Linked DNA regions of Daphnia pulex. The protein of the gene in region 2 interacts with the protein of the main gene of each other region in a biochemical or structural test. Links are inferred from orthologs where the notes say so. Each region holds a gene or a part of one and is shown on either strand. Other genes may lie near its edges.

Region 1 (10,221 bases), on a different chromosome or scaffold from region 2:
AAATACCAACCATTTGAGACCGCTTATTGTCCAAAACTGAAATGGAGTAAACATAAATATTAATACCAACACAACAGAATTTAACTGATTCTTTACTCACTTTTGACAGTTTGTTGTTTCACCGGTTTACTCTCTGCTTTTGGTTTCACTGGTTTCGCGACAACAACCTGTCGCGAAAATAGGTCAGAAAAGTCATCCCAACTTTCGGGAGCGATCTCTTCCAACTTATCCCACAATGTCGAGCTAGACAAGTAATAAAGTATGCTTGATTGGTTTTTGAAACGTTTTGGATCAACAAAACCTACTTGCTGTCAACTGTGTTTGGTGTGACAGTCATCGGGGGCTGGTATGGTATTAAAATCCTTGTCCAATATAAAGGTTTCATCGGTAGCTTGGGATCAACTGGGTTCTAAAGAAATCATATGTTTCTAAATATTCTTTTCGGCAAAGAGTTTTATAACGACTTACCTTTCGGGCAACGGGTTTGTTGAAATTCCAACCTCCTTGAGGTGGAGCTGGAAGCGACGGAGGAGAAGCAAGACCTCCGGGACCGTTTGAAAATAAATTAAGGAAAAATATTATTTTTTTTTTCTCGGGAAAAAATATTCAATAATTATTAAATGCTTTATATTATTTTTTAATTTATCAAATTTATTTTATTATATTAATTACCAGGAGGAGGAGGTGGTCCTCCCATAGGCGGAGGGGGTGGTGGTCCACCCATAGGCGGAGGGGGTGGTGGTCCACCCATCATTGGAGGAGGAGGTGGTGGTCCACCCATCATTGGAGGAGGAGGAGGTGGACCCCCCATCATTGGAGGAGGGGGTGGTGGAGGTGGTCCACCCATCATTGGAGGAGGAGGTGGAGGAGGTGGTCCACCCATCATTGGGGGTGGAGGAGGTGGGGGTGGTGGTCCTCCCATCATCGGAGGCGGAGGAGGCGGCGGCGGCGGCGGCGGCTATCGAATCGATTAATAATAGCGAAAAATAATCTCAATGCGGTAAAAAAATGCTATCATGAACGTACCTGTCCCCCTAACGATGTCGGAAACGGAGGCGGAGGTGGAGCGGGGGTAACCCCGGACCGGAAATGATCCGAAGACGAGAATGGGGGTGGAGGGGGCGGTGGAGGTGGAGCAGTCGATGAATAACTGTAACAATTTGACAATTTAATAAAAAAAACAATAAATCATGATGCATCAAATTTTGACATGATTAATTCTTGTTTTTCGTTGCAACCTTGGAGGTGGGACGTAAGGTGGAGGTTCAAGAGTTGGCCGGTTTTTAAGAACAGTGACTTCTTTAGTTAAACTGGCAATCGTTTCCTCCATTTCTTTGATTTTATGACGGAATTCAGCTTGAATTCGCAGAAGTTCCGCATCATGGTCTTGTCGTGCCTGTTGGAACGCTGCCAAATGTTCTTGTATGGATAAATACTCTCCTTTACATCGAGGAGTTCCTTTACTATTCATGTCAGGTCTACCCCATCTATACATTCGATCCATCTGAGAAAAAAATGCAAGTTATTCCGATACAAAACATTCAGGAGGTCTGAAATTGCACAATTAGGCCGACTAACCATAAATTTGTCGCACATTTGCCCATCTTCCAAAGGGCAAACAATGCCAATATTCAATAAATAATTAACAAAATGACTCATCAAAAGCCTCAGATCGGGCTTGCTAATAAGGAGCCTCAAGTAATGATCCTCATCAATAGAAGAGAGTAAATTTGAAACAAGCATTTGCCCTGTGTTATAATCAAATCCGGTGATATAAATGTTTAACATCAAATTGAATAAGTTTATACCTTCAAAATTTTCTAAGGAATTGAGATCATGTCGTTCAAGTGAAGAACGCATTTTTGGTGAGTTAAGTTGTTGCTTTTGTTCCATGGCCAAGTCATACGTAAGGCTTGCCACCTTTCGTAACACATTAGATTCTTTTTCTCCAGAAGCTAAAGTTTATGGAGAAAGAGGAAAAAAAAAGAAATATTATTATGAAATGGTTAGATAGTACACATCATTTAAAGTAAAAAATAATTACTGGAAGGATACGGAATTCCGAGATCACTAGGCTCGCGTCTAGTGGCATTTTGAGTGTGACTAAGAATTGCTGTGGCTGGAATTTCCACTTTCTTATGCCTTGTAAGAGTAAATGGTTGTCCATTGTTGGGCACATTAGAAGATCTATTAGCTCCATTATTGTTATGCCCCGATGAGGAGCCTCCATGTCCTCCAAGGTGCATCATATCTGGCATGTCAATTTCAATCTTTGTAGTGCTTGCCTGTATTAGAAAATAACAAGGAAAAATTTGTCAGCCCTTCATTAAACATACAATCTACAAGTTTTAACAAATGACCACAAAATCAAACTTACTGACTTGTTTTTCTCAGCATATATTTTGAAAATATGATATTTTGCTGCTGCAGCGTAGTAGAATAACAGACTGGGGACTTCGAGGGAGAGATAATTTAGCTGTCCTCTAGCAAGATGTTGATGTGGAGTTACTTGGGCGCAGGAACTCTTCTCATGCTTGGCAAAAAACTTCTTGTCAAACTGCTGGAAATTGTCCTTGATTTGTAACTGTTCTATTTCATTTGACCTTGAACACAGTTCTGTTGCATATGATGAAGTATCAGCATCCAATTCAATATTATCACTTGTCGGTTGTTCAAAACCACTTGACAATGAAACAGTTCCAGCATTTTCAAATTCTGAGACTTCTCTTAAACTGCAAGTTTCGGTATTGCTGTCCAATGGAAGATCAGGTACATTAATGCTATCCGATGTCTCGGAAACGATCAGCAGATTTTCATCACACGTCCAGGTGTGGTGATGAGCGATGTCTTGGTAACTGGACGGATCTTCTTCAGGCTCGTCCACATCAGCATAGAGAGTTTCTGATGTTAACGACTTCCCTATAACTATAACTTTGGACAATCGTTGAGGTGAAAAATTCTGTTCTTGTTGATCTCTTGTCCTGTCATCCGACAGTGTAGACGACGAACCACTGTTGTTTGGAACCTCATTTTGGAAAGGTGGGTTTGGTCCTTTTTCGGTTTCGGTTCCACCATTTTCGGTTCCAACCCGCGGATTCGAAATAAGCCGCCCCTTGGATTTTTGACTAGAACTACTTTTGTTGCCCATTGCTGCGGAGTCGGAGCTGCTGCGATTTCGGAAAAACGGAGAATTCTCTAATTCAGAGTTAGCCGATTTATCTTCGGGAATCGACGAGCTGCAACTTTCAAAGTCGCCCAAGTCGCTCAAGTCATCAACCAAGTTTCCATTCCAATCTTCCTGCTGCGTCCACAATATAGAAAATAATGTCACATTATTTTAAAAAATTTATGAATTCTACCTTAGCGTAGCGGGACTGATCGTCGAGCGTCAGAGGTTGATCGTTTATTAGCAACAAGGGCAAATCGTTTGACAAGCCAACGTTAAGGGCTTCGATGGTGCCTTCCGGATTACGATCATCTCCGTATCCATTATTTTCGTCGTTCCTTTGTTTATCTAATAAATCAATATTAACTGGAAACGCTTGTTGTTGATCAGATAGTGCCGCGTCTTGCAGCACTGGTTCCGGATAGCTAGATTGGCTGTTGGCCTCCACTCGAGCCGCACTAAATGCGTCAAAACTGTACGTAGTTCTAAACGATGTATTAGAACGATCCGAGTCAGATTCTAGCTGCTGTCCGTCTGGAGATCGATGAGAGGGGTTCGGACTGCTGCAATGAGGAGTGATTGGAGATAAAGTCGATTGAGTAAGTGAGTTTCGTTGTTTGGCCTAATTTAAACCAAAATTGAAACATGACGTTTGCTCTTGACGTGTGTTATTTACAGTATAGTAACTAGGGTAACAACTCACTTTGAAGGCGTTGGTTCGAACAAGGCGAGGCAGTTCGGAGTCGGGATCGATTGACGAAATGGAAAGGAGACGGGGACCTGCAGCGAGCTCCGATTGATCCGAGGTAGACAGATGACGGCCGAGTTTATTCAAACGCTGTCCAAATTCTTTGACGCCACGAACTTTTTCCACAAACAAGCTCTTCAACGCTAGAGCTTTAGTGTGTTTGTTGGTGATCAACGACAACTGGTCAGCCGACGTAGCTCTCTTCGTGGAACTGCAGCTCGGCGATTGCGCACTGCCGTTGCCGCTGCTGCAGCTGCTCTCGTTATCTGGCTCACAATAGTCGTTGGTTGCCATAGCGACCTTAGGATCCCTGTGTACATGGGCACAGTAATATCCCTTCCCGATCACCTGGAAATAAGAAAATAAGGGCTAGACAAGAATTTTATTACACGTGGTCGGCAGATTCCACTTCCTAATTTTTGTTCTCATTCTCTCAACCATTACAATGTTACGACCAATAACGAGACGAAAGCTTTTTATGTGTGATTTCTCATCCGATAGAGCGTACGATTACTAAATCGGCGTGTCTCCTACACATGATGATAATGACATTCCAGTCCAACAACAAAATAAAACTTACGTCACGTCGGTCAATACGACGTACGGGAGGCCAATTCTTGTCAGAGGCAACAGGTAGAAATGAGACTGGAGCCTTTTTAACACATAGACACACACAAGTCACAATACAGAGACTGAGTTTGACACGACCTAAGTAGTTCGCCCTGATGGCAAGCTCTTCCCGCCCGCTACTGACGAGATTTTGTGTAATATAAGAGGAAGGGTTTTTAATCCAGTAGAGGGCGATCAGAGAGCATGCATACAAGTAACAAAGAGAGAAAGATAAATGAAAGATAACCTTGCCTAGGCTCGCGCGCCGTAGCCAGACAAATATAGCAAATAAATAAAGAGGAAGCGGAAAGGGGGGAGAGAATGAGGGGAGAACTCACTTACGTACTATGTTGTGCTATTTCCTCATTTTCAAATAAAGGTGTGGGATATTTGAATTGTCGTTTCCTTTTTTCTTTATCCACTATAGCTTTATGAAAGACTCATGATATTTCTATATCGCGCATTTTTCTGGTATAGTCTTCATAAATGAAAATAATTGCGTCACTAGGTCTACACATGTCCAAAATGTAATTTTACATCCAACAGGTATCCAACTTCCAACTACCTATAAATGCGGGCGATGTGGCCTGAACGCGCGATGCCGGCGATGCGCCAGCCGCCAAGCCCGCCAGGCGGCCAGGCCGGCCGGGCCTAATTTTGTAACCGAAACACTGAGAAGAGGCTTCATTAAAACTTGTTGTTTACATCGAGTAGTGTTCTCTTCCTTCCAGTTGTTAATTCCACTTTTTTTTAAAGATTAGATAGAATAGAATCTCATGCAAAATGGAAGATAAAGAAGGTGAACCGTAGAATTTCATTTGTTATAAAAAAATTGTGGTGGCTAAAATATCTAAATTGTGATTGCAGAGCGCATTGAAACTCCGTTAGTGGCGATTGTGATTGATGCTACTCCTGCCAAAAAATTCGCAAGTCAAGCAATAATTGATAATGGATCTACAATGATGAATAGAATTTTTGATGCCTTGATTGGATTTGGAAATGCCCACTTGATGCAAGGCTCTCACAACAAACTGGCAGTCATTGCCTGCAACAGCAAGTCTACGTAAGTGATTTAAAAAATTTTATCTTACAAGACTTATTCATAAGACAATGACCATCTTATATATTTTTTTAATAGAAAGTTTTTGTACCCTTCCGAAAATGGGAATTCTAAATCCTACCATAACCGACCTGGGCAGTATGACATGTTTGCAAAAGTTGATTCCGATATTCGTCATGGCCTTTCAGAGCTAATCTTGAAAGATTCAATTGACCATGATTCTACTACATCAGACTCATTATTAGGGGGAGCTATGGCTCGTGCTCTGTGCCACATTCATAAAGTTCAAAGGGAACTTAGTTTGAGTCATCAGTTAAAACCACGCATACTTGTTGTTAGTGGCAGTTCTGACAGTGCTTTGCAGTACATGACCTTTATGAATGTGTTCTTCACAGCTCAGAAAGAGGTAATATGCTTACTTTAAAATCAATATTTTTTAAGAAAATAGTAAGAATGTTTCTCTTTTACAGAATGTTGTGATTGACTGTTGCATGATGGATACTGATTCTGGATTACTACAACAAGGCTGTGACATAACTGGAGGGCAATACTTACGAATTCCTACTGTTGTTGGATTACTGGAGTATTTGCTGTGGGTTTTCCTTCCAGGTCCATCTTGTAGATCCAAAATTGTCTTGCCACCTCCTACAAAAGTTGATTACAGAGCAGCTTGCTTCTGCCACCACAAACTAGTTGATATTGGATGGGTCTGCTCTGTTTGTCTTTCAAGTAAGTTAATGGTTTTTATCATTACTCTTCACTTTCAGTAACTTATTGCTTGTTTCTAGTTTTCTGCAAATTCAGCATTCTTTGTACCACATGTAACACAGAATTCAAACTTAATAGACCTGCAATCGTACCCTCCAAACCGAAGAAGCGTCCTCGAATGGAATAAATGGAAGATACAGTGAAAAATTAATTATTGCCCAAAAAGCTCTGACTGAAGCTCAATTTAGCACTTTGCTGTAAATTTCCGTGGCATACAAAAAGAAATTGTTTTGTACATGACCATTCAATGTTTCTTGGGTTTCTCTTTAGTCTCTACTGGTCTCTACTCTATACTCTCTAGTCTCTACTCTTTATGAAGAAAGAAAAAAAATTAAGACTAAAAAGACTGATTGTTATAACTATACTTTTCTTAGTGGCAGAGATATTGTTAGGTTAGTTCGATTGTTAGGTTATCTCTGATTTAAAATTTCGATTTTTTTAGAAAAAATTAACAATTTAAAAAAAAAATGAAAATTTTTAACAAAATGAAAATGTAGCTTTACTTCACCAAATTTTGAATAGCTTTTCGTCTGCTAGGTATCTTGAAAAGAGACAAGGCAAGGTTAACTATATAAGAGTTTTCAAAAGAATAATAATTTAGATTACGTACCGTTAATTTCCGGATGTTTACAAATAATTTGAGATTGGTTTCACGTTACATATACGCTCGCACAATGACCAACGCAGCGTTAGCCGCTAGAAACAGAATCGTATGGATGGATCTAGAGGTGAATTGGTTTCCAAGGAACAAGTCAAAAATTAGTTTTTTATAAGCTAATTTTCTTTATAGATGACGGGGTTGGACGACACCAAGGACCACATTCTTGAAGCTGCTTGTCTTATCACTGATCAAGACTTGAACATTGTTGCTGAAGGTCCTAACATCATCATTAATCAACCTGATAGCATCTTAGATGGAATGGTTATATCTATTATATTATATTATTCTTATATATTATATTATATATTCTATCTTATAATATAGGGAGAGTGGTGTAAAAAAACACATGGAGAGGTTTCAAATAATTCATTCAATACTGTTTATCCAAATCATAACACTTACTTTCTTTCAGTCTGGGTTAACAGAAGCATGTAGAAATAGTAATATCAGTGTTGAAGAAGCTCAAGAAAAGCTTGTTGATTTTATTGGTCGTTATACTAACCCCGGAGAATGCCCGCTGGCTGGGAATTCCATTGGTGAAGATAAAAGATTTCTGTACAAGTACATGCCCAAACTCATAAACCATCTGCACTACCGGATAATAGATGTTTCAACCATCAAGGAATTGGGAAGGTAATAAATTAATTTAAACTTTTTTTTTTAAATCATTAGCAAAATACATCTGGAATTAGGAGGTGGTATCCAGATGTTTTGAAAAATGCTCCCCCAAAATCCTTAACTCATAGAGCCATGGATGACATAAAAGAAAGTCTGATGGAACTGAGCTTCTACAAAGCAAATATTTTCAAATGAAAACACATTATTTATGTAACAGTCTACTACCTTTATTCACACCCACCCACAAATCAAACTGTAAATACAATGCAGTTATTGGATTGCATGTACTGTGTTCAAAGGGATGTCAAATATAATGCTAATGAAACAGCAGCTGCAAGGACAACATACCCTGTGCTTTGAATTCCCTTAATTGTGAGGTTGAAACCAGTATCCCACACAAGGTGTCTCATTCCATTAATCAGGTGATAGGAAAATGGAAAAGCAATGAGAAACTTCCCAGCCAATACAATAAGTGGAAGGTGTGCAGCTTCCAACATTCCCAAATAATGTGGAAATGATGCAGGCAATACCATGGCACCTATCAGATTACAAATAAAGCATATTAAAACATATTTATTGATGTAAAGATTGATTGATGAAATTACCAATAGCTAGACCATACATCAGTCCATTTTGTGCAAGACCAGTAAAACGATGTGTAATGGACAAAGCCATATTAGACTGGAATTGGTAAATAGATAGATGGGGAGAAATTGGCCGTTGCAACCTCTTATTCTTATCTTCAAAATTTTCATTTGAAAGGGGTTTAGCACGATTAGCTTCGACGCTTTTAATTCCGAACGTAGAGGCTGACACAGTGTGTTGCCTGCAGCAATTAATAAGGGGAAACGTTAAAATATGTTAAATCATCCTTCACCAAAACATCTACCATGATTTGACCGGAGCTGCTGTGAGTAGCCGGGTTTGGGTAGTATTTTTTAAGATGGTACTAATAAAAACAAAATTAAAAACATATTTAGAAAAAAACTGGTTCTAGATATTAGGAAAGTTTTAAAAAATTGTTTTATATTTTATTTCTACCGTAAAAGCGCCATATTTGTTATTGCACAGCAGTAGCGAATACTGATTTCGTTCGCGAGGTTGACGGATCAAATTTATGGCAATAGTTTCAATTACTTAACAGTTTTCAAATTTTTTATTCTAACATAAGAAAAACTTGAAAAAAACAACAATTTTCATATCCTTTTCAAATTCTGTAAATAATAAGTGGATAATAAGAAAATTGGTCGTACGCGTCGTACGTGTACGTCCCTCTCCCTTTTCCAACCCATGCCCAACCTTTAGAATGCTTGGGGCGTTTCCTACTGCCTTCCCAATGCTAAAGCATAGTTTTTATCCTAAAATTTAACTTTTTACTCAGCTAACATTAGTTAAAGAGAAATATTTCAAAACTGGTAAGTGAACTTTGTGTAGCGGTTTTCATTCTAACAGAAATTTATATGTAAAAAAAAGTATTTTGAAACGGATTGTTGTTTTGAATGCTCAAAATAGAACAAATTTCGCTAGTCTCCCTTGAGATGGGCAACGGTATATATTTTGGAAGTTTTCCTCTGAAAAGTACTCTGGTTTCCAATCAACACCCGGATAAATCTTTCGCCTTTTACTAAAGATTTCCGTGGTTGGGAGCAATTGATGAGTCTATATGACTAATTTTTCGAAAGCCTGGTCTTCTGACCGGGCATCCTAACAAATAAAATAAATCGGATAAGTAGGAATCTGAAGATTAATTCAGGTTTTTAAGTTTTTTCATTGCGATTGCGTCGTTCTATATATACGCTCATAGCAATATTCTATTTATTCAAATAGGTGATGAAACAACAATATCTAAAACTCAAAATTGCTTTCTACAATCAAAATATTTCTTCAATTTGTTTGCTTAATTTAGATCAAAAGGCAGTCCAAATTCAACATATAATTAGGAAAGTAAGGAAACCAATTTTAATGATTCCACAATCAAGTACAATAAGTTTCATACCGCATGTCACATTAAGTAAAATAGCGCTGGACCTAGTGCAGATTAAACATATCTGAATACCCAACAAATTACCTAGAGGTTAACTAAGGTAGGGTGTAAGATAGGGTATTCCCACCCTCAGTTATAACTCAGGATAATGGCAATAGCAATACTCAGACGTGTCAGTCGAAAAAGTTTCGAATTCCCCAGATCCCTCACAAAACATTCAGACAGCGGCAAATCAATTCACACCAGAATAAGTAAAACCACGTCGACACTATTGGGTCGTAGTAAACTCTATTTGCTCGAATATAATATTTTGGTTTACACAGATTTGTCAAATCTCAATCTGTATTGCAATGCAGAATGACGCAACGGAATATTTTATTCTTGGTTTGAATAGACAACATCCGAAAAACGTCCACGTTTACAATAAACAAGGCAAAGTCCTTTAAAAAATATATACCATAAATCCGAATATGAGTGACATTGCCCAATAGTAAACAAAAAACTCGCAATTCTGGATAGGCTAATTCGGTAGTTTTGTAGTTTATGAAGCAATTAGCTGTCTGTCAGCCCATACAAAAAAATGAAAACTGAGAAGATCGTAAAAAAA
Region 2 (10,921 bases):
GAAAACAGGAATTTGAGCGTGATCCTGGTTGGAACACGATTGACGAGCAGCCAGTGTACAGCCAGCAAGAATACATGGAATTTGAACATCAACGGCAAATGGAAATCCAACGACTGATTGACCAAGGAATGGTATGTACTACATAAATATTTTATTCAATGCTACCCGGCGGATGCATGTAAGCTTTTCTTGTTGGCTAGACTGCGTAATTAATTTAGAATATCCCTTTGCGTATCATGCCAATTTTTGCCTTGTAGCTTGTCGTACTTCATACGTAGAGCATGTCTTATGTATGTCTATTCCATATCCCTTGTCCGTATTAGCTACCTCCACATCCTGGTATGATGCCAAACCATCCCAGAATGCCCAACGTGCCTTATGGTGTAGCACCTGGTCAGTATGCTGGTCAGCAACCTTACTATCCTTCTCCTGTTGCTCAGGGGAAACCGGTAGGTTAAATTGTTTGTTTTTCGTCTTTCATTGTTAATGCATTGCATTAGTTTTATGGATTCAGTATTAAGGGTGTGATAAAAATGAAAAATTAAAGTCAATCAAAATGTAAATATTCTAGATAACTCCTGAAGAGGCGATTAGAATGCAACAACAGCAGTATGCACAACAACCTCAGTTTGCTCCGCAGCAACAATATTATGGACAACCACAGTTCGCTCAGCAACAGCAATATGCTGGTCACCCACAACAACAGTATGCTGCTAACCCACAATATGCTGCTCAGCCGCAACAGCCTCAATTCGCTCAGCCTGGACAGCAGAATTTCCAGCAACCGGCTCAGCAACAACAACAGAATTTCCAACAAGCATCTCAGCAACAACAACCGATTCAACAAGTACCACAACAACAGCCAATCGCTCAGCAGCCGGTTCAGCAACAGCAAATCCCTGCTCAGCAACAACCTCTTGTCCAACCGCAGGTTCCAGTCCAACAGCAGGTTCCAGTCCAACAGCAGGCCCCAATTCAATCGCAACCGGTTGCACCCCCGCCTGCCCAACAGCAAATACCAGCTGCAAAAACTGTTTGATGACATAAATTAATTGCATTTCAATTATCAAACAAATTGCTTGTCTTATAATATTTTACGAATCGACGAAAATACAATTATTAAAACAAATTTCAACCATTTTTTAAACAAAGTTTCTATAATAAAAGAATAAATAAATAAATAAAAATTCTACAGTGAGCTGAAATAATTCATTTGTTATATATCATTTGTTTGAATATTGGTGGTCATAAAGCATGGCAATAATGAATGGAATCTCAAGGCGCAGTTGATAGCAAACAACTAATAAAATTTAGGAAATAGACTTAGAAAATATCAAAATAATAAAAAAAAAGGTTTGGAATAAATAAGGCAGGAATAAAGTAGCCTAGTTCAATTTCCATCCATTCCCTCCCAACCCCAACCCATTACATGTCGTCCAGTACGTTCGTACCTATATTGCCTTAATGGTATTGCAACGTCGCATTCTGCATTCATTTTACTCTTTTGAGAAAGTCGAGGGGGACTGGAGAAAGAGTCCGCAGCATAAAACCGTTTTCGGAGCAACTGCACAAGTCAACATGGCTAGCGAAGAAAGTTCGACCATTCCCAAGGAAAATCAAGTCACTCAATCCAACGAAGAAACCGAAACCATGGTAATTGCAAATCATAGATTTTGGTTTTACATAATTGATCTATTAGTAACTCGTGCATGTCGTTTTGCTCGTGTAAACATGTCTATGCTGCACGTATGTTTACTTTACATGCTCTCTTTTTTGGTTTTTTTAAATTGTTTGGTCATATTGTGATTTTGTTGAAATCAGTATGTTCAATTTATCTTTTGATATATTTCATAATAGGCTTCTCAAAGGGATATTGAGAAATTGGAAGAAGAGAAGTTGAAAGCTCGTTACAATGCCCGCCCTGTAACTGGACACTCAGCATTCTTGCAAAAGAGACTTGCCAAAGGCGTAAGCAAACTTTTTTTTTATCTAAAACAACTAATTTTGTTATTGCTTTTGGCTGTGTTTTGTGTTACTTTCCATTGTGCAATAATATGAGAAAGTTTGAATGCAATCTGCCAACTGAAATGTTTTACCAACTAATTCTATTTCACTTATAATTTTATTGTAGCAAAAGTACTTTGACTCTGGAGATTACCAAATGGCAAAACAAAAAGGACCAGCTAAAATACCAACTGCAGCAACAACAGCAGTAATCCCACCTGCCAATCTTGGACACCCAACTGGGGATGCCATTCCAACTCCGGAATCTGTTCCTACCAGGAAAACATCCATCATTCAGAGCAAGTTGGCAAGTCCTGCTATGTAAAAAGAGCAACATCACCTGAAAGTCTTAACCGTTCGCGGGCATGAATTTGGTATCGGGCAGTTTGTATACAATTTGGTGTAATATCTTCATGATCGTGTTACGTTTCGGTGTCTGCATCAGTTTTTTTTTTTTTTTTTCCCTTAAATCTTTTTTAAAACATTTTTTTCTCAATCTTTGGCCGCGCTCTTTACTATTTTACCGCCTCTCTTCATTTTTTTTCCGCTTGAAATGATGAGAAATAACCAGGAGTTCCGTAAATCAGAAGACGCTAGTTAGACTCCTTTCCCCCGTTAAAAAAATGAAATACATACAGTGGCACCACTTCAATACAGCACAAATGATTTGTATTTTTAAATCATGAATTTAAATGTGACGAACGTGAAAATTGACTACATATTCGGAATTGGTTCTCTGAACACTTATGGCAAATGGATCTGTTGGATGAAACGTGAAAGCAACAAGGCGACGGGCAGAAGAAGGCGGAGCTGGCCGGCCAAGAATACCAGCATAAATGCGAAACCGCAGCAGTCCAGATTCACGGACGTAGAAACGAATGGGGTGCTCTCCACTAGTCTTTGGACGCTCCATGAGCGAAACCCATTTATCGTCATAGGAAAACAGCTGCAAATCAAGGTAAGGCGAAGAGGAATAGGATTGTGCTGAAATGGGAAGTTGTGAAAGAAGTCGTTTTGTGGCTTCCGTCTGCCCACCAAAGCGAGCGCTGACAATGGTCTGCTTGAATCGTTGATGAATGACGTTTGCAAATACGTTGCTGGACGGTGATCCTTGTGTTGCGTTGCGTAGTAAATCGCAAAAGTTCTCGAACAAGTTCAGTAGTTCCTGACTTGTGTTTTCATAGACGTTAATAACCTGTAAAACAATAATACGTGGGATTAAGTTTTTTTCTTTTAATTATAATCAAGATACCTGTGCGTTTTCCATATTGTAAACGACAAAGAAGGCCGGTTGCGTATTTGGGTCTGGAGCTCGTAGTGTAACCACATCTTCACTAGCATATTTCAGAAGCAAATGTGACTCATCCAACAACTGCATTTTCCAGATTCGGAGTGCGCGAATGTGATCAAAGTTCTGATAGAACTTTCGTACGTGAAAGAGATTCCCTTCGGCTTCAGCCATGTTGATTGCTCGTCGGTAGAGAAACACTAGTAAACGATGCTTGAGCGCGTTGACAGTTGCCTCTCGAAACGGACGAACCAACTGACCCGAAGGCCAAAGTCCCCGTACTTGATTGATTAACCATTCGTCATCGTCGAAACAAAATCGACCTATAGTTTTTACATCAGCAAAATAGCCATCGTGTGAAATTTTAAAAATGTGTATCGTTTGATGCTGGACAGAGAGAACTGCTAGAGTGTCTTCATACAAGTAAAGTCCTTGGTTGTGTGAGAGAAAGATTTTGTCGGTCTTCATTGTTCTAGTATCACAGAGCCTTCCATTGACGATGTCAACGATGTGAAGTGAGCAATCTTCTAGTGGAGAACGAGGATGAGGAGATACGGATTCATTATTACGGAAAATATCAAAAAAATTTGGCTGGGGCTCTTCGGGAACGTACGAGGCTGAACCGACAATAACAAATCTTCCGTCACCGACAAAGAGACTGCATTCGCGATTTAGTTGTTCACCAACAGGAGTTACAGCAATAGTATGCTTTAACTGGAAGAATTTAGAAAATACTTTACTTCTTAAATTTACAGCTTCATTGGTATCATTTCCAACAAACTCTCTCGTTCCTGGAACATCTGTAAGTAAATCTTCTACTGCACTTGGTCCAAGATATTTGTAAACTTCCACTGAAGTTTGATCTGAAGAGAATGCAATAAAGTACTTGCCGTTGGGTGTAAATTTTCTCAAATAGCATGGTGGCTTTTCTATGTTGACAATTGTAAAATTTGGGACAACACTTTGATAAAATGATCGGCAAATGTGATAGTTTCCGGGTTTGACATGAGTCTCTCGACGAATCAGTCGAATTACAACATTCTGCGAGGGAATTTTTCTAGGAGTCAACTCGAACTCACCATGGTCAGCCTGTCTATATTTGGGGTTCATCATTTTCAGAACCTTTTTTATTACTCGGCATTTTTACTACGTATCTGCAATTCCCATTTTATTCGCCGTGAATTTTAGAAGTTTCAGATTTTTAGTGATAAAGCACATGTGAAATAGAACTGAAGCAGGTTTGAGATGTCAAAATCCGAAACATTTTGTAGAACAGATCGATCTAGCGGTGGTAATAGAAAGATAAACAATAGTTTTTCACGCCACCTGTTGACGAGTGAAATTCCATTTTAAAATAATCGTTCTTGACGGGTGATTAAAAGTTGAAAGAAACTTTGAGTGTATGAATGAAAAATGCACGTGAGTGGAGAAAGAGAACCTAGACTTCAGCGATATGAAAAGATTGAATTTTTGGGAGAAGGACAGGTAAGGTTTTGATTGGCACTGTCTTTTGTGTATGTTCAACTGTTTTATTTTGTAATTTAGTTTGCGACAGTCTACAAGGCGAAAGATACTCTAAACGATAACAAAATAGTTGCCGTTAAAAAGGTTTAAAAAATGTGTTTTCATTTCAGCGTTTCCGGTTCGTTTATAAAATACTAACACTATTTCTGTTCAAGATTAAACTGGGTTCACGAGAAGAGGCTAGAGATGGAATCAATCGAACAGCTTTGAGAGAAATCAAGTTACTCCAAGAACTCAAGCATGACCATATAATTGGTTTACTTGATGTCTTTGGTCACCGTTCTAATGTATCTCTGGTGTTTGACTTTATGGATACTGATTTGGAGCAAATAATCAAGGACACAACCATCATTCTCACTCCAGCACACATTAAAGCTTACATTCTTATGACACTTCAAGGACTTGAATATCTCCATCTTCTATTTATTCTTCACAGAGTAATAATAATAATATATATTTTTCCCCTGTACATTATGACAGAAGTATGCACATTCTTTTTTTTTCAACTACCATTTTAGGATCTGAAACCTAACAATCTTCTTGTTGATCGTCAAGGAATACTGAAACTTGGTGATTTTGGTTTGGCAAAATCGTTTGCATCACCCACTCGTATCTACACTCACCAGGTTGTGACGAGGTGGTATAGGTAATTTGAAGAAATGCAACATAAATATTCAGCTGAAATTAAAATTGATCACACCTGAAACTAGGTGTCCAGAACTGTTGTTTGGTGCTCGAATGTACGGTACCGGTGTTGATGTATGGGCAGTAGGTTGCATAATGGCTGAACTTTTGCTTCGACTCCCCTTTTTACCTGGAGAATCTGACTTAGATCAACTTACACGTATTTTTACAACTTTGGGCACTCCAAACGAAGAGAATTGGCCAGTAAGTACATAAAACAATTTTGAACTCAACCGTCTCCCACCTTTAAACTCTAGTCATATTTCCTTGATTAGGGACTGCTTTCGCTACCAGATTTTGTTCAGTTTAAGGCTTTCCCCGTGATTCCAATGCGGCATATTTTCACCGCCGCCGGAGATGATTTGCTGCAGCTTTTGAGTCGTTTTTTGGCATTGCATCCTTTAGACAGGTGTACTTGTAGCGAAGCTTTGCAAATGCCGTATTTCAGGTATGTATTTTGATTAATTTTTAGATATAAAATTCTAAGTTTCTTCCTTAACAGCAATAAACCAGCTCCAGCTCCAGGATCATCTCTACCTCTACCTGCATCTCTAAGTCAAGCAGCAGTCGACAAAAGCGGAACAAAACGTAAAGTGACGGACAACGGGGAGGGAGGTTCATTAGCGAAACGTTTAGTTTTCTAATAAGTGGTTGAACCAATACATGTGTTTCTAATATAACCTCTAGGTTTATTTCCACCACTCTTGTTGATACAACTTTACAATTTCAGAAGCTTATGACACATTTGCTTATTTTCTGTACCACATCTGAATAGTCTTCATCCGTTTTACTTTTTTCTGTAACTGAAGGATGCCGTACATCAGCGCTTCGGCAGTAGGAGGGCAGCCAGGGACGTAGATGTCAACTGGGATAATCCTGTCGCAACCACGCACAACAGAATACGAATAATGGTAGTAGCCACCACCATTAGCGCAGCTTCCCATAGAAATTACCTGGAGATAAATAAATAAATTCATGATGCCTAATATCTGTGAGAAAGTGTTCCGGTTACCCAACGAGGTTCGGGCATCTGATCGTAAACTTTACGTAAAGCAGGAGCCATTTTGTTGGTAAGTGTACCAGCTACAATTATGACATCAGCCTGACGCGGAGAAGCACGAAATACCACACCATACCGATCCATGTCATATCGCGGAGCTGCAATGTGCATCATTTCTACAGCACAGCAGGCAAGCCCAAAGGTCAGAGGCCATAAAGATCCCTGAGAGCGAAAGTTGAATATTAAAATTTTTCCAGCTAATCCTTAATGATTAACTTCACATAATCTTTAATTTTTACCTTTCTTCCCCAATTGAGAAGATCATCAAGCCGGGCAACTGCATACTCTGCCATATTGTTGGTGTTTTGAAATGGAGAGTATGGTCTCTTTTTATCCAGGGCAGCTAAGAATATTCAAAGATAAGATGTTGGTAGTAAGAAGTGATCTCAAATGCCTAAAATGGAAGGAAAATTACCATTTCCTTCAGTTCCAGATTGGGGAACGGTGCTCTGATTCCGTTTCAGTACGATAGAAGTCATGGACAAACTCGACGGTACTGAGACACTGCTGTTAATCCCTAAGGACTTCACTAGGGCGCCATTCAATGTTCCACGTAGGGCAAGCATATTCTTAAACTGTAAATTAATCGATCAACAAAGTAAAAAACTTGATTTCCAAGAGTCGCCAGTAAATATTTTACGGCTACGCTCTACAGTTCTGGGCACTAGCAGACAAATTTCTATGAGTAAAGAATCAGAGAAAAAGAAGGACAACGTTGTCAAATTTAATTAAAAATTAATTTAATTTAATTTCAATTAATTTATAATATTATTTATTTGAAATTTATGTTTATGTAAATTTATTATTTATCATGATTTGCATGTTTACAGTGACCCCGAGGAGTTTCGTATTGCGTAACGAAGTTCCCTATCCCTAGGAATTTATATCAAATGACTCAGTGGGCGTCTGCTGGCTTTGAGATTTGTGATAATTCGAGTCCTTCAAATTGGTTCTGAACTTTAACAGATGAACAAGGGATTGAATTGATGGCTTGAGAAAAATGACTAATTTAGTACTGGTGTTTGCTGCTTTAAATCTATTACCTCTTTTTGTGTTGGTTTTATCTGCAGACTACTATACGTTCTTGGATGGTGAACAAAAAAATTACGATCGTAATGTAAATATCTTGTTTACCTACACTTGTTTTTCAAGCTTCCTTTCCTAGTTTATTTGTGACATTGCTACTTAACACAGCAATAAATCATTTTTTGTTTACAGGTTACCACTACAATAAACCCAAAATGCCCCACAAATGAATGTGTGAATTTCACTCTTGTTCATGTTCAACAAGAAGGAATTGCTGATGTTCTCCATCACATTTGGACCATGGAAAATGTTCCCACTTTCTTTTACGCCAGAACAGAATTGAATACTGAAATGTTGATTGATTGGGAAAAGATGTTGTCAGGAAACTACAGTCAAGCCATAAGCTTTAACAAGGAACCACAATATTTTGCTGCAGTTCTTATATTCAAAGTATACAAATACTTAAATTTACACCCTTACAACTACTTAAACTCTTATTGCAGTTTTTTATGTATAATGATCTCAATGATACTGGTGTGATTCCAGAAACAGACAACTTTGACATCGTTTCATACAGTACCAAGAAGATGTCATGGGAACTCAAATCATCCAACTGTTCAGGGAATGTTTCTGCTTCTGTGGCATTCCGCTTAAGCAGCTATGATGGAGTAGCACTGGATTTCTCTTCCAACATTGAGATAACTGTAATTATAACTTCAGTTTAATTGTCATTACAAAATTTTATGATAACATTTTTTACAAAATAGTTAACAGCATATGGAACTCGAGGTCGAAGCCCCATACTGCCTCACTTAGCCTTCACAGAGAATTCCACTCAGGTAGACTTCGTCTTCGATCACGTAGAAACTAAAGAATCTTTTACCAACGCACGGTTGGCCATGGAATTGGCAGCTGTTGTATCCGAACCTGATAGTCGGTTTACTCTCAACGTTTCGCAAAGCTTAGACGATGAATACACTCCTGGCGTCTTTAAGGTAACCCAGTAATTCATATGAATTTTTTTAAATGTTGAAGTATCAAATTTTGCGTTTATTTGTAGCTCATGGAAGTTCATTCAGCCTTAAATCAACACTGGATTCAATGGCGACCAGTGTGCTACACCTCAACTCAACGTGATATCGGAGATTCCACTGGCCTCTACCAAACTGAAATAAGAAATGTTTCGGACGATAATATTCTTGACAACACGCTCCTGGAGTGGTTATCATTGGATTTGGATACGCGCTTTTTATTGATGAAGGGTTTCAATGTGTCTTTTGGCGTTGAGGGTGACGGTTTTTATCGTGCTTCGAATTACACAGCTTGGACCTTGGTTACTGGCCACGGAAGACCAGTCGGCGATCAGTTCTCGCTGATGGTGATATTAGTCATGGCAATCGGATTAGGGTTGCCCGCAATCGTTCTCATTCTAGGTGGCGCAGCCATAGCCTTGCGAAACCATAGAAACAGCAAAGATGATTTGTTGCTGAGTGATTGAGTTGATTTGGATTTTAACCAAAGTGAAACTCGATTATCTTAAGACAAATGATTCGCTTCCTTTCTCGGTTTCTCTCCACTGTTATTCTGACGTATTTCATAATCTTTTCTGTCTTGAGCGAAATATTTGCCTTTGTGTGTACATACGATATCGAAATAAAAAAGTGAAACTGTACAACAGAAACTAAAGTTGCCTGAATATATAATCAAAACTTCGAAATGAAGAACACAAATTAAATCCTCGAAATATACGGTTTGATAAAAGAGATAATAATATTGCCAAGAATATTGCAGCTGCGCGAGCTTGAACAAAATTGTACTGAGATAGCCACATTGCACTGCAGAACTGCGTAGAGGCTGCTATAAATCAACTGGACGGATTTGTCTCTCTCCTTCGTGGAGAAAAATGTGGAATGACTTGTAAAGCAGAAGGCATCCCCAGCGTCGTTTGTCCGAGTTCGACCACGACGTACAAATTCCATAGTAGTCTCCACGCTTTATATTCGTGATGGTGCTAAGACCTAAAGATGAAGAGAATGGATTATGTCGTCATAGAAATATCTTTAATTAATTCAATCAACTTTTACCTATCGCTTCTATCATTGCGGCTTCGCGACAAAATGCTTCTACTGGCAAAGAGTTTTGAAAGACGTGAATTGAAATGACGCCGTACCCATCGTTCCAGATGTCTAATATTCGCTTAACTTTATTGCTTACCTAAATTAGAGCAATCATGTTATCCAATATTCTAAATAGATTTGTACCGAGCTTTATACTTTAAGAAACGACTGTGGTCGAGACCGAAGTTTAATTGCCTCATAAAGATGTTCGTGCGGCCTATTTTGTTTGCCCTTTCCTATGTAAAAAATGCTGGATACAAAGCGCTTGAACAATTTCTGTTGGTCCTGGGTTTCGTTGAGTGGCAGATTGTGCGTGACTCTCGGGTCTAGAAGAAGATAATTAAAAGATTTTTTCGCCAGACCTATTGTGTCGAAAAAGAAAAAAACATATTACAAAATTAAATTTTTAAAAATAAGTTAGCAATCTTGGTATATTACCCTCTCTCCATGGTTTAAGCGGGTCAGGACAGGTGAAATGTGTAACCAACAATCGGTCTAAATGCGTAGCTATTTTTGTATCGTTTTCTAGCCCCGGATAGTTAAGCAAAATAGTCTGAAGTTCTTTGGATAACCCAAGCCTCTTTGGTGAAGGAACATGCGCAGCCTGTTCTCTGCGCAACCGAAAAAACTGTCGGAGGTAAACTTGCTTGGTTGTTGGTGTTATGGGTCCAGGACAGCCACCAAGTGATTTTAATTGGTCAAACAAGAGTTGTGAGTCCATTGATTCTCCAATCCAGTTGACAGAATTTCTTTCGTCAGAAGAAGTACACAGAGCTTCATTTAGGGTTGCATCTGTAACAGAATCCTGATTCACAAGGGGGGGATAGTGCCACTCGACCAATTCGATTCCTTTTTCAGTGTCGGAATATATGTGTTCTTCTACTATAACGATCGAACTGGTTGATGCGTTGCTGGTTACGTCAAGAGTATTGCACAGGGCCACATTAAGAGCGTTGTTGGATGAGCTAACAACAACTGAATCACTATCTAGAGCTGTAGTGCTCAAAACAGAATCAGACCCTAGAAACCCAAGGTCATTACAGCTGAGAGTGCTGTTGCAAAGTGATGTTCCCAACTCCACTTCCCGATGCTTCACAAAAATACACTGAACAGAGTCTTCTGCTGGATCAACGTGGTCATCTTCCATGTATGAAGCAAGATACTTGAGGATGCACCATTGATTCTTCTGAAGAGCCAAATCCCATGCATTACAACCTT
Region 3 (11,161 bases), on a different chromosome or scaffold from region 2:
CATCAAAATGGCGCTGGCACAAAGAGCAAGCAAGTCTAGCCAGAGACTAGTCGATTGAGCAAGCCCTGGGGTTTCTCTCGAGAGCACTGGGGAGTTGTGATGATGCTTTCCGCGTGGTTCGACACACGCTCCTGTTAAGTTCCGTTTTCCTTCGTCTTTTCTTCAACAACAGAAAAGTTAGCGTTGGAAGATGAATTCAATTTTTGTCCATTTTAGTCGAGAAGAACGCAATTGGCTTCAGATTTCAGGACGATGCATTTCATCGCCTACCGTCGTCTGGTAGTCGTCGCAGATTGAGAATTCCTTGTCTTGATGCGTCGGAAAAGAAGCTTGAGGGAGACATCTATCGCCCGTTCATCAACACATGCATTTCCAAAACGCACCCTTGCGTTTAATACAAAATTAATAACAAAATATCTAAGTTATTTTAATCGTGTTGTTAAATAATTATTCCTGAAATTCAGCTATTCAAAATTTTATAATATACCTAACCTAGAGAAGTGTAATAGTTAATCGGCTAATGTGCCCAAGGATAAGGTGATGTTGCGCAATAAAGGGGAGGAGCATCTTCAATCTTCTAGACGAATGAACACATTCCAACTCATAAATAAAAAAACATTTAAAAAATACGTAGTCAATTTCGACTATAAGAACTTTCGAGGTACGCAAAATAATCCACGTTATCATTTTCGCAGTGATATCTCCATTTTTCCTTGTTGAGTTCCTTGTTTTCTTGTTCCTTTTGTTGAGTGATCATGAGAAAACTCATTTGCATAACTTCGTTTGTTATTCTTCTTGTACATATTTCCAAACATTCAATCGAAGCTATCGGTGGCAGCAATTACTACGATATTCTAGGAGTTGATAGCAAGGCAACAGAAAGGGAAATCAAGAAAGCTTTTCGCAAACTTGCCCTGAAATATCACCCTGACAAAAATCCAGCATTTGAAGAAAAGTTTAGAGATATTGCTGAAGGTAACATTTGTTTTGCATTTTTTGGCCTCAAAATTAACAAACTAAGATTTCATTTCTGTTGTTGCTATGTATTTTACAGCTTATGAAATACTCTCCAACCCCAAGAAAAGGAAACAATATGATGATTTTGGTGCAGAGGGCACAAGAAACAATGGGAATCAACATTCAAAGTTTGCTTACAACTTCAATTTCGATGATTTTATGATGCAGTTTGATCAGCATTTTGGAGACTTCCATCACAAGTTTCATTCTCCAACCAACAAAAAGCATCAAAAGAAAGCAGACTCAATGTTCAATTTTGGCAACATTTTTAATGCAAGTTTTATTAAACTAAGCAAAATATTTTTATTCTAACTTACCAAATGTTTCTTTTTTAAAATTTATATAGGATGATGATGATATGTTTGGTGGAATGGATATGCAATTTGATAATATGGATTCCATGTTTGGTTTCACAGATGATTTACATCAGGGGACAGGATGTAAAACAGTTACTCAAAAGATCGGAAATGTTGTTACTACCTATACGCAATGCTCATAAATTTTGTTATAAATAAATTACGTTGTTATCCGTTTTTTTTAATTTTCGAGTTTAAAAATCAATGTGAATGTATGGGAAACTGCTTATTATCCGTATTCGAAAACTTCATGTATTCATCCGTACTATTTCAAGCAGTTACATGAAAACGATTGGCATTTCATTCTGAAGTTCCCTCGTCAATATAACTCATCAAAGCTACAGTGAATTTCTAGCCCAAATGAAAGTGAAGAATTTTGTTTGTTTGTTCCAAGTAAAGTCGGGGCCCGCAAATACGCAACTGGTCATTTTATCGTGCCGTCATCTTGCAAAGGTACCGCAGCTGGAACATTCGAACGTCGCCAGATTCTAGTTTAACAACGCCTTCTTGGTGGTCGATAGAAAGCAACTGGCCACAGCTTTCTCTTTCTTCTCCCAAAATGATTTTGACTCGATCTCGCCGACTTGGCACGATGGGCTCTAACAACTCCCCAGCAACTGTTACAACTCGATCCTCGGCCGGTAAGAAAAGAGAGCACATACCACCAGATATGCCACGGATGATACCACTCTAAAATTACACATTAAAAAATATTAATTTATTAAGTGAAAAAGAAAATGAATTAATATGAAGTATCAATAATATTACCTGTCCCGAGAGTCCCGCATCACTATGCGAATCCTTGAAACGTACTTCTATGTCGGTGGTATACCAGTCCTGAGAAGACAACGAATCCATTCCGGCCCCTGGTGTCTGAGGATTGAGAGGTGACGGAGCTACACCCGGAGTCATAGGGCTATAACTCATGGGAGATGGCGATGTATAACTTGAAGCCATTCCAGGTGATGGATGGAATGGCAACCCAGTACTTGGGCTAGGAGTCGGAGCATAACCGGATGGACTCGGTGAGGCTTGATAAGGTGCCGGACTCGGACTGGGCTGGTAGGGTGAATAAGTGTGATCTGAACCGTAGGATGTTCCTGGTGTGTGAGGGGTGTAGGGTCCTTGTGGAGTGTCAACATGGTAGGCTGACCCAGGAGTCGCCGGGTTATAGGCTGGCGAAGGAGACTGATCATCCCAATTGTCCAAATCTCCATAGTCGGTCGATCGAGCAGGTGTATTGGTAACGGTTGGATCCCAAGCTCCGGATTGTCCAGGTGTACGGGATCCATCATGAGAAGGTGTCATACCACCATAGTGAGGAGTACGTGAACCATCGTACAGTGGAGTTTGTGATCCATACATCGGAGTACGAGATCCAGAAGCATACATGGGTGTATCACGGCCTTCAGCCTGTGAAGCAGGAGTTTGGCTGTACGTAGAAACAGCGCCAGATTTGGAGGGTCCTCCAACAACGGCAATTCGAGTTCGGTCAACGGATACTGTTTGACATTTAGAATGTAATTCGACGCGGGCTGTTGAATCTGTTGCGTCCTGAAAGGATGAAAAAAGAAGATGCTTTATTCTTTTCCTAGAGGGGAAAAAACACGTTTTCAAAAATTTACCTTGACAATTCCGATGTGACCTTTGTATGGACCTTGTGTAACTTTAATGGTCTTTCCAATCAAATCTCGATCTCGCCCAATTCTTCCACCTCGTCCAAATCCACCACCCCCACCTCCACGACCACCTCCTCCTCCACGTCCACCGCCTCTTCCACCTCCTCCCCCTCCCCCGCCTCCTCCTCCGCTCGGGTGCATGGGTGAAGAAATTCTGGGTGACATGTAGCCCAAACTCGATACTGCTGGTGAACCTGAAGCAGCACCTTTACTACCGCCGGCCAATACAAGATGGCGAGTTTTACAAACGAATATGCCACCATTCTCAAGCATCATTCGGGAGTGAAGGAACGCGAAGTTGCGATAAAGATGACGGATTTCTCCTTGACGACCAGAATGAGGTCCATCGATCACTTTAACAATATCCTTTCGTTGTATGGTGTTTTGCTCGGAATCCAACGCTACGGCTTGGCGATTCTCTTTACGACGTTGTAGAGCTTGCGGTCGGACTGCTACAACTTTTCCGTGCATATTTAGAACCTAATGAAATAAAAAAACAAGAGTTAGATCTCTGAAAGTGTGAGAATCGTTCAAGACATACTTGGAAATTTTCCCGCTCCAATCGAACGATAACACCAACAGACTGGGCGTCAAGTTGAACCAGATCACCCCACTGGTACTGGCCCATGGAGTCGACTCCTGTTGCCATGTCAGAGCACAACTGTAGGTCTCTGGGCAAAACTTTAAGTTCATGCATTGTAAGATCTGAAAAGAGTACAACCATGTTGTCCTCAACACGAACAATGAGTCCTGTATCGTTTTCGTAGCGGCCGGCAATGACGCGAACATGGTCACCCATCGAGAAATACTTTTTCAACTCGTGAGCCTGAAACTCCAAGGGGTCCTTGAGATCTTCGTGTCTCGGCATGACCGTGATTTTATTGCCATCAATGGCCACAATTTTTCCACGGAGATGAATAAGTTCACCTTCACAAACTTCGACAGCGTCTCCTGTAGCAAAATTATGGGTTGCTTCTTCTTTACCCGATACAATTCGAACCTAGATAAGAATTATATTATGAGTTAACGACAGAAAAGGACCTAAATATTAAAAATAAAAAACAATTGGAATAACACTTACGGCCATGTCAACCCCTTCTACAGCCTCTTCAAAACGCTCGAGTTCAATCAATGTAGGTTTAACACCATCGGCAAGGATCGCGGTCATAGAAAAATTTTTGTAAAGAAAACCTTTACGGGAGTATCGGTTCCCCTCAAAAATAAGGAAATCGCCATCACTTGTAACTTCTCCGCCGACTGCTCTGATAGCTTCCAGATCAAACAGTTTTAACGGTGGACGAATTTTGCGTTTTTTCTTTGCTTCTGCATCAGATTGAGCAGTTCGTAGAGCTCCACGTGGCCTGCTATAGTCAATTCGTGGGATCAATTTTAGATGAACCTGATTTTGAGCTACATCCACATAATCAACTTGGGCAATATCATCCTTGAATATGCCTCGCTTCAGACGAACCCATGATTTGGGCTTCATTACACTCTGTTCTTTTACAACTCGTAGAACATCGGTCATTTCCTTGATTGGGACCATCTGCTGGGCATAGAGACCCATGCGAAGGCTACCGATACCGTCAATCGCCTGCTTAACGTGGGTTTGTTTGAAAGCTTCAACATAGATATATCCCTTGACGCCTTCAGGAGACACAATTGATTTGATTTGCAATGGTTCTTCTGTGAATTGGTAAGCAATGAATTTTCTCATCAGTTGAAATACTGTTTGCTTCTCTTCTCCCAATCTGCACTTGACCATCCACAGATTTGGATCTCTGAAATAAGAATTGTAAGTTAACTCTTTCCTTAAAAAAAAAAAAATATTAAATACAGTACTTGACTCCAGGTAGCAAAGTTTGCTGGGTAATTTCATCAGTCATATCTTCACCACCATCTCCAAAGTGTCTAGTAACAGTAGCTTCATCTGCATATTTCTTTCGAAAATATTCCTCTACTTCCTCTTCTTTTGAACTACTGTAGAGAGAAAATGTATTGTTAATACTTTGGATAAAATGTGTTAAAGCTTGTGTTTATCTACAACTTACTCCCACATTTGCTGTTGTCTGCGTCTCCCATCAATTTCTCTCGCTGTGGGCCCCATTTCGTCAACTTCGTTTCCTACCAGACCATAGTTCTCAGCTCCATCTTCCCATTCTTCTTCATCTTCAACCTCATCATCGACTTCTGCTTCCTCCAGAATAAAACCACCAAATCTATCACTCTTCTTTCGCTTTCTTCTTCCTCCATTAACTTCTTCTTCATCTTCATCTTCTTCTTCCTCTTCAACTTCTTCGTCATCTTCTTCTTCTTCTGAATCACTGCCTCTATGGCGTTTACTTTTTTTTGCACCTTTATCCCTTTTCTTTTTCTTTTTGGATTTGTCTTTTTTCAGAGATTTCTTGTTTACTGCTTTGTGACTACGGCCACCAGAGTCATTATCCTTCAAAATTTAAAGGTTAGATTTCGTCAAGTAAAATGGAAATGTGTAAACCATACCGAACTTTCAGCATCACTGAGGGCTTCCTTCCTATCGGAAAAATTACTATCTTCGCTGTCCGACATGTTTTAATTGCTTGCTGAATACTTTTTTGAAGAAGAAAAACAACGATTGCACCTTAAACCAAACAATGCTACAACGTTTCAATGAGATAGAAAACAGGTAAATTGTTCTTTCTTTCCAACTATGTTGTTCCTAAATTGAATTCATCTGCGTCACTCACCAGAGGAAATTTTGCAATGCATGGATAAACAAGTTTGGGAGTCTTTACACGCCATCTATCCTTTGATTCGAAAGTATTTCGCAAATGTTTTCATTAAATGTAAAATAGGCCTATGGCTTTTCAAAGTTATCCATTTTAAAATTCAATAAATTTAAGGAAATTAATTATCTTATGTAGTTTTATATCATTCATTTCTGAAATAATTATTCAATTCAAATATATTGTTTGGGGTACCATAGCGCCACTTGCCACTAAGTATTTTGTCGTTACTTGGCCTACCTGGTTTAGTTTAGTTGAAACGGGAGAGCACATGAGACGACAGTCAATACTGCTGGTACTGCACAGATCTAACGAAGTCATATATCATAGCCTTCATAGGTAAATGTACTTTTCGGATAGCACATGTGACAGGTAAATCAGGATGAAATCATACTGACGTAGAACTGTTGATATTCAGTCCAGATGGTTGAGATTTTATAATTAGTATGGGGGAATCGAGTTCCAAGTCCGAACTTAGTGTCAATTCAAACCAGCGGTCAGTTTCGGTACCGGAGATTAAGGCTGTTTTAGTTTCTGAAAACATTCAACCGAAACTACTGAAACATAACTCAAATAGTAAGGGCATCAAGAAGATAACACTTCAAGAATACAGAAAACAGGTTGGTCACAAAGTGATCAATCAAAAATCCACTCAGAAACTTGGGATCACAGTAAGTTTTTGTTTCTTTTTTTACATTTTCTATTACAAGTAAACTGTGTTTTTGTACAGGGTAAACAAGAGACAAATTCAGAAGAGAAATGCAGTGGGCAATCACCAGATCCAGATAGTGCTAATTGCCCCCACTGTGGACATTTGGTTTCCACTAATAAATGTATGAGGTGCATGCGCGTCTTTGAAAAAGAAAAAACGGTACCTCTCACTTCAAATCTTAAGTCATTACCTGGAAACAAATCATCCGGAATCTCTCAGATGTCAAATGATTCATCATATGGCTACCGACGCACTCGGACTCAAAATGCTCAACCTTCAAGACAGAGTAGAGCCAAATTTGAGGAGCCACAGTGTGTAACACTGAGTAGCGATGAAGATGATGACTCCTTTCAGGAAACCAAAAAACTCAAATGTGATGGTACCGACAAATCAACTGAAAAATTGGATGTTAAACCTTCAATTGTGATTCAAGAACAGCCAAATATTAAAGAATGTTAGTTAAACACATTTATTTCCTCTGCTGGTTTTTCTTATTAATTTATCTTACTTTTTGTTTCTTTTAAATTCTTTGTTTTTCTTCTAGGTGAACCTTTAAATGGTGTCTCAATGGATTTGCCTATTGATGCAGAAGAGGAAATTGGATCTAGTGATTTGCTCCGTTGGAAAGAAGGTGGATTGAATGGACCTTTCTTTGCCGTAAACTGCCGATCTGTTCGTATTGGATCATATAAGATTACTCCAGTGGGACGTGTGTTATTCTCATCCGAAGGAATTATGCTGCAAGCTCCAGTTTTTCACAACCACGATGGGCCATCAGAAAAAAATGCTGTTTGCGTCAATGTAGCTATCCCAAGTCAGCAACTATTAAAAGTGGACGCTTTTTTCAGCCGAAAGCTTCAAGTCATCTTCCTAAATGTTGGTCCAAGCTGGTGTCGCCAGCTTTCAACAAAATTAGGGTTACCCAAAAGTGGCCCATATTGGGATTCTGCTAGCGAAGACGAAAATAAAAAACGATTGACACTGCTGCCCGATGGGTTGGACGATGCAGCGAAGAACGCAATCAAACAAGTCTTCGTTCCTCAAGGTGTTTACAACGAAATTAATCAGGCCGAGGCCAACCGGCTCTTGGTTATTTCCTCACCCCCAGAAGTTCGTGATGCGCTTAAACGTCTCCCCGCGACCACTGCTGTATCAGCAGAAACGAGTGTTTCGACAACTGAAACGCAACTGAATGGTGGCAAAGACGACACTAGCAAAGTTGAAGTAAGTAGTCGTAATGCTAATACCAATAACTACGCTATTGGTTAAGTGTGTACTTCGTATAGTTGAAAGCCGAATTTGTGCCTAAAATCAGTCTTCATTCTCTTCTAGATACGAATAACCAGGGGATCCAGTAAATCTCTCGCAAGAACTGTTTTGCCAGTGACTCCAATGTTTTCCTGGTCGGATGGACCCGACCGCTTCTCAGTAACCACTGAAGATTATGCTTGTTTAAATCAGGACAATCTACTAAATGACAGGTAAATTTGGCATTGCACCGTTGTCTTTTTCTGTAATTACCTTTAACTATTTGCTTTGTTTTTCTTTTGCAGTATCATCGACTTTTATCTTCGATACGTTTTCAGTACTAAAATTGATGAAAGTCTGAAGAAGAAATGCCACGTATTTTCATCGTTTTTCTACCAAAGGTTAACGACTCGCCCACCCAAAGTCAATGGACGGTACAAGCTCTTAATCTATTACAACAACCATTTTGAAGTGTAATTACTCTAGAGATGAATTTACGCAGGAAACATCCAATTGAAGATGACGATTCCCTTTCGATAAAGGAGAAACGTCATTCGAGAGTTAAATCGTGGACAAAGAAAGTGGACATTTTTGAAAAGGATTATCTCGTGATACCCATCAACGAGCGTAACCATTGGTTTCTAGCCATTGTCTGTTTTCCTTGGTTATCAGGACCGGTGACCGCCATAGACAATCAACCCATCAAACTTCGCCCCCAACAAACATACTCCAAGAAAACAACCGCCGACTTACAGAGGTCATTTGTGGCCGTGAACGGTGAATCGTTTCACATAGGAAATACCACAGTTACGCCTGTTAACTCAAATTCAAAGGTATTGATGTCTGCCTTTATTAGTTTAAACGAGTCGACATGATAAACGAACCAATTTGTTCTGTTTGCTTGTTCTTATCCGTTCTTTAGTCGACCAAAGATGACCAGATTACGTTGAATGTTGACACAGAAAGAGACGAAGCTGAGAGCGACGAAGAAGAATTATCATGTGCAATCGACCGCACTCCAGTAGAAAAATTGCCAGAGATTGCTGGTCCTATCAAACAGTAATTCAAATTCATTTTTGTCTTTTAATAATGCTTTACAGTTTGCCTTTAGTGTAGTGTTTTTCATGCGACATTCTTATGTTTTATTCTTGTATTCTAGGCCTTGCATCTTATTTTTTGATTCATTGGCGGGAAGCGCACACAATCGAGTTGCTACGACTCTTCGCGAGTATTTAATGGTGGAACACCAAGTAAAGAAAATGAAGCCAAATGAGAAATCAATTGTTGCTTTCAGAAGGGACGCCGTTAAACCGTCAACCAACCCCTTTACTAAAGACTCGATGATATCGGCATGCCTTGATGTGCCTCAACAAAATAACTCGTACGATTGCGGGATATTTGTGCTTCAATACGCAGAATACTTTATGATGGTAAGTTAAAAATTTTTTATTTAATTTTTTTATTTTGCTGAATTAATGTTTTTATTTCATCAATTCAGAGTCCATTTCTGGATTATAATTTACGGAATATAAAACTAAGCAATTGGTTTCCACCTCATATTGCCGGAAGGAAAAGAAAAAACATCCAGTTCTTATTGATACGGCTCACCAAGGAAACGAATCCTTCAGCAGACCAAGTTCTGACATTGTTACCTCGAGATGACGTCAGAATTGCACTTCAAGACCGTAATAAGACTGCGGCCGCTACAAATAAAGAAAATGGTGAAATTCATAGTGAAAATAAGACGGAGGCGATGGAGGAAGACGGCAAATCTGAGGTGTGTCTCGATAAAGAAAAGGTTGAAAAGGGAGCCAGCCCATCAAATATCGTGTATGACCAAGAGGCGAATAATGAAATGGAGAAATAGATTTTTTTTTTCTTTTTTGTTATCGGTTTGTCGTTCTCCTAAACTAAAAAAAAAATGTTTCGACTGCGAGAAAAAACTGGTTACCAACGTGAAAGGTTTCAAAGTTTGTTCAAAAACGTGACGTCAAACACATCGTCAGAATCAGAATATCAAAGTCGTGCTCTAGCTATCGTTCATCAGCCATGAAATTAATTGCCACCGGACATAAAAGGTAGCGAAGAGAATGTTAGGCTCGGTAGTTTTCAGAATCGGTATTGATACTCTTGGCTATTCTACGGAAATCTTTTGTTTGTTTTCCCTTGGTATCCATTCCATTCCGCATGTGATCTTTCAGCCGTCACCGTTATATTCCGAATGAAAAGATCGATAATCGCTTTATGAAAACTGCACACGTTGGTAATAGAACTGGGCCTATAAGATGGCATATATATTCCACCTTTTCCTTGGTATGTCACAGGCACGTGAGCTCATTGATGTCTAATTGGATGTAGGTACAACCGGAAGGCCTTTGTTGAGAACATGAAAGGAAAGGCTCGAATAAGACGATCTGCTTGTACGAATGTCGATGACATGTCGGCGGCTAACGAAAGTGGCTTAATTGTCACTGGGTTTTTTTTTGTCTGTAAATCAACTCTGGAGTGGGATGCGCAACCAAATCATCCCGTTTCAATTGAAAAGGCGGCGATTGAAGTTGACATCGATTCACGCGTAAGATCTAAATCTAATTTAGTCTCGAAAAAGCTACTGTCAAATCATTAATTCAATGTGTAGCTTACATTTATTGTACTTGTACGGGTGGGGGGAGGAAAGTGGTTCTTCTAGCTAATGGATAGATGGATAATATGCTAACAGCATGAATAATGGACGTATCTCATTCATGAGCAGCCAGTCGAACTGCCGATGGAAGCCAGGGGGAAGTCCTGAGCAGAGGGACCGTGCTGTATTCCATCAATGTTCTTTTCCATTATGTTGTGTTGGCGATTCTAGCGAAATATTCTTTTCTTCCTAAAGATGCCTTTCCTTCAACTGGTGTTATTCAGATGCATATGTGACCATTATTTTCCAAATATAAAGTGATATACTGTAATCATGGAAGCAGTCCAAACGCGTATTGGTTGAATACACGGTTTTGCCAAGAAAAAATATCACGCAGAATCCACCTATTTAGTTGTTATACGTTCATATTGAAACTCTACACTTTTACAAATGTATACATGAAATAGGTTGACTTAACAGATTGATTAGTAGGTAAAATTAAACGCAATGATTAATATCCAAATAACAATTCGATGTAATAATTAAAAAACCGTTTCAAGGGAAATGAATTCTTAAAGGCTTCCATGCCGCAATTGAATTGCCGACATTGAGGGTCCCAAATGATAATGTGCACCTTGCAAAACCAGTTGGCACAATTTTGGCTTTCACCTCCTTTCATGCAGCTGTTGGATACTTGGGAGGCTTTTCAGTTTCTTTACAGTATATTATGAGCGATGGTGTGATGAAGCTGACAGAGTCTA

What was found.
Region 1: the proteins of cyclin-dependent kinase 7-like (region 2) and general transcription factor IIH subunit 3-like form a complex in vitro, tested with the Homo sapiens proteins (2 studies listed by BioGRID). The link is inferred for Daphnia pulex from reciprocal best matches to the Homo sapiens genes CDK7 and GTF2H3.
Region 3: of the proteins of cyclin-dependent kinase 7-like (region 2) and transcription elongation factor SPT5-like, one has a biochemical effect on the other in vitro, tested with the Homo sapiens proteins (2 studies listed by BioGRID, with this or other methods). The link is inferred for Daphnia pulex from reciprocal best matches to the Homo sapiens genes CDK7 and SUPT5H.

The regions. Positions count from the first base shown.
Region 1 is NC_060021.1:11,067,764-11,077,984, reverse strand, and holds general transcription factor IIH subunit 3-like, read left to right. Parts: upstream 1-5,171; 5' UTR 5,172-5,306; coding exon 5,307-5,322; intron 5,323-5,390; coding exon 5,391-5,586; intron 5,587-5,661; coding exon 5,662-5,989; intron 5,990-6,053; coding exon 6,054-6,312; intron 6,313-6,371; coding exon 6,372-6,478; 3' UTR 6,479-6,591; downstream 6,592-10,221. Other genes in the region: uncharacterized protein LOC124194693, read right to left, coding at 1-36, 101-243, 306-409, 469-542, 673-958, 1,027-1,150, 1,239-1,504, 1,579-1,748 and 5 more; oligoribonuclease, mitochondrial-like, read left to right, coding at 6,975-7,079, 7,142-7,273, 7,337-7,366, 7,425-7,645, 7,705-7,825; succinate dehydrogenase cytochrome b560 subunit, mitochondrial-like, read right to left, coding at 7,924-8,168, 8,236-8,456, 8,520-8,579, 8,672-8,685. UniProt on the Homo sapiens protein: Component of the general transcription and DNA repair factor IIH (TFIIH) core complex, which is involved in general and transcription-coupled nucleotide excision repair (NER) of damaged DNA and, when complexed to CAK, in RNA transcription by RNA polymerase II.
Region 2 is NC_060020.1:943,197-954,117, forward strand, and holds cyclin-dependent kinase 7-like, read left to right. Parts: upstream 1-4,631; 5' UTR 4,632-4,705; coding exon 4,706-4,777; intron 4,778-4,837; coding exon 4,838-4,900; intron 4,901-4,971; coding exon 4,972-5,253; intron 5,254-5,334; coding exon 5,335-5,462; intron 5,463-5,526; coding exon 5,527-5,704; intron 5,705-5,775; coding exon 5,776-5,948; intron 5,949-6,002; coding exon 6,003-6,144; 3' UTR 6,145-6,180; downstream 6,181-10,921. Other genes in the region: nucleobindin-2-like, read left to right, coding at 1-131, 324-449, 572-1,039; cAMP-regulated phosphoprotein 19-A-like, read left to right, coding at 1,579-1,653, 1,858-1,968, 2,132-2,329; DET1 homolog, read right to left, coding at 2,693-3,199, 3,257-4,405; NADH-quinone oxidoreductase subunit B 2-like, read right to left, coding at 6,250-6,453, 6,513-6,722, 6,800-6,903, 6,976-7,126; glycosylated lysosomal membrane protein A-like, read left to right, coding at 7,561-7,677, 7,779-8,036, 8,090-8,290, 8,354-8,581, 8,647-9,084; ankyrin repeat and LEM domain-containing protein 1-like, read right to left, coding at 9,444-9,604, 9,671-9,800, 9,860-10,065, 10,142-10,921. UniProt on the Homo sapiens protein: Serine/threonine kinase involved in cell cycle control and in RNA polymerase II-mediated RNA transcription. Cyclin-dependent kinases (CDKs) are activated by the binding to a cyclin and mediate the progression through the cell cycle.
Region 3 is NC_060017.1:4,111,749-4,122,909, reverse strand, and holds transcription elongation factor SPT5-like, read right to left. Parts: upstream 5,810-11,161; 5' UTR 5,621-5,809; coding exon 5,555-5,620; intron 5,499-5,554; coding exon 5,104-5,498; intron 5,033-5,103; coding exon 4,895-5,032; intron 4,834-4,894; coding exon 4,134-4,833; intron 4,053-4,133; coding exon 3,594-4,052; intron 3,533-3,593; coding exon 2,999-3,532; intron 2,928-2,998; coding exon 2,142-2,927; intron 2,064-2,141; coding exon 1,803-2,063; 3' UTR 1,606-1,802; downstream 1-1,605. Other genes in the region: dnaJ homolog subfamily B member 9-like, read left to right, coding at 541-661, 826-975, 1,055-1,290, 1,364-1,516; sentrin-specific protease 6-like, read left to right, coding at 6,161-6,189, 6,263-6,488, 6,548-6,983, 7,074-7,753, 7,862-8,010, 8,083-8,211, 8,280-8,610, 8,700-8,836 and 2 more. UniProt on the Homo sapiens protein: Component of the DRB sensitivity-inducing factor complex (DSIF complex), which regulates mRNA processing and transcription elongation by RNA polymerase II.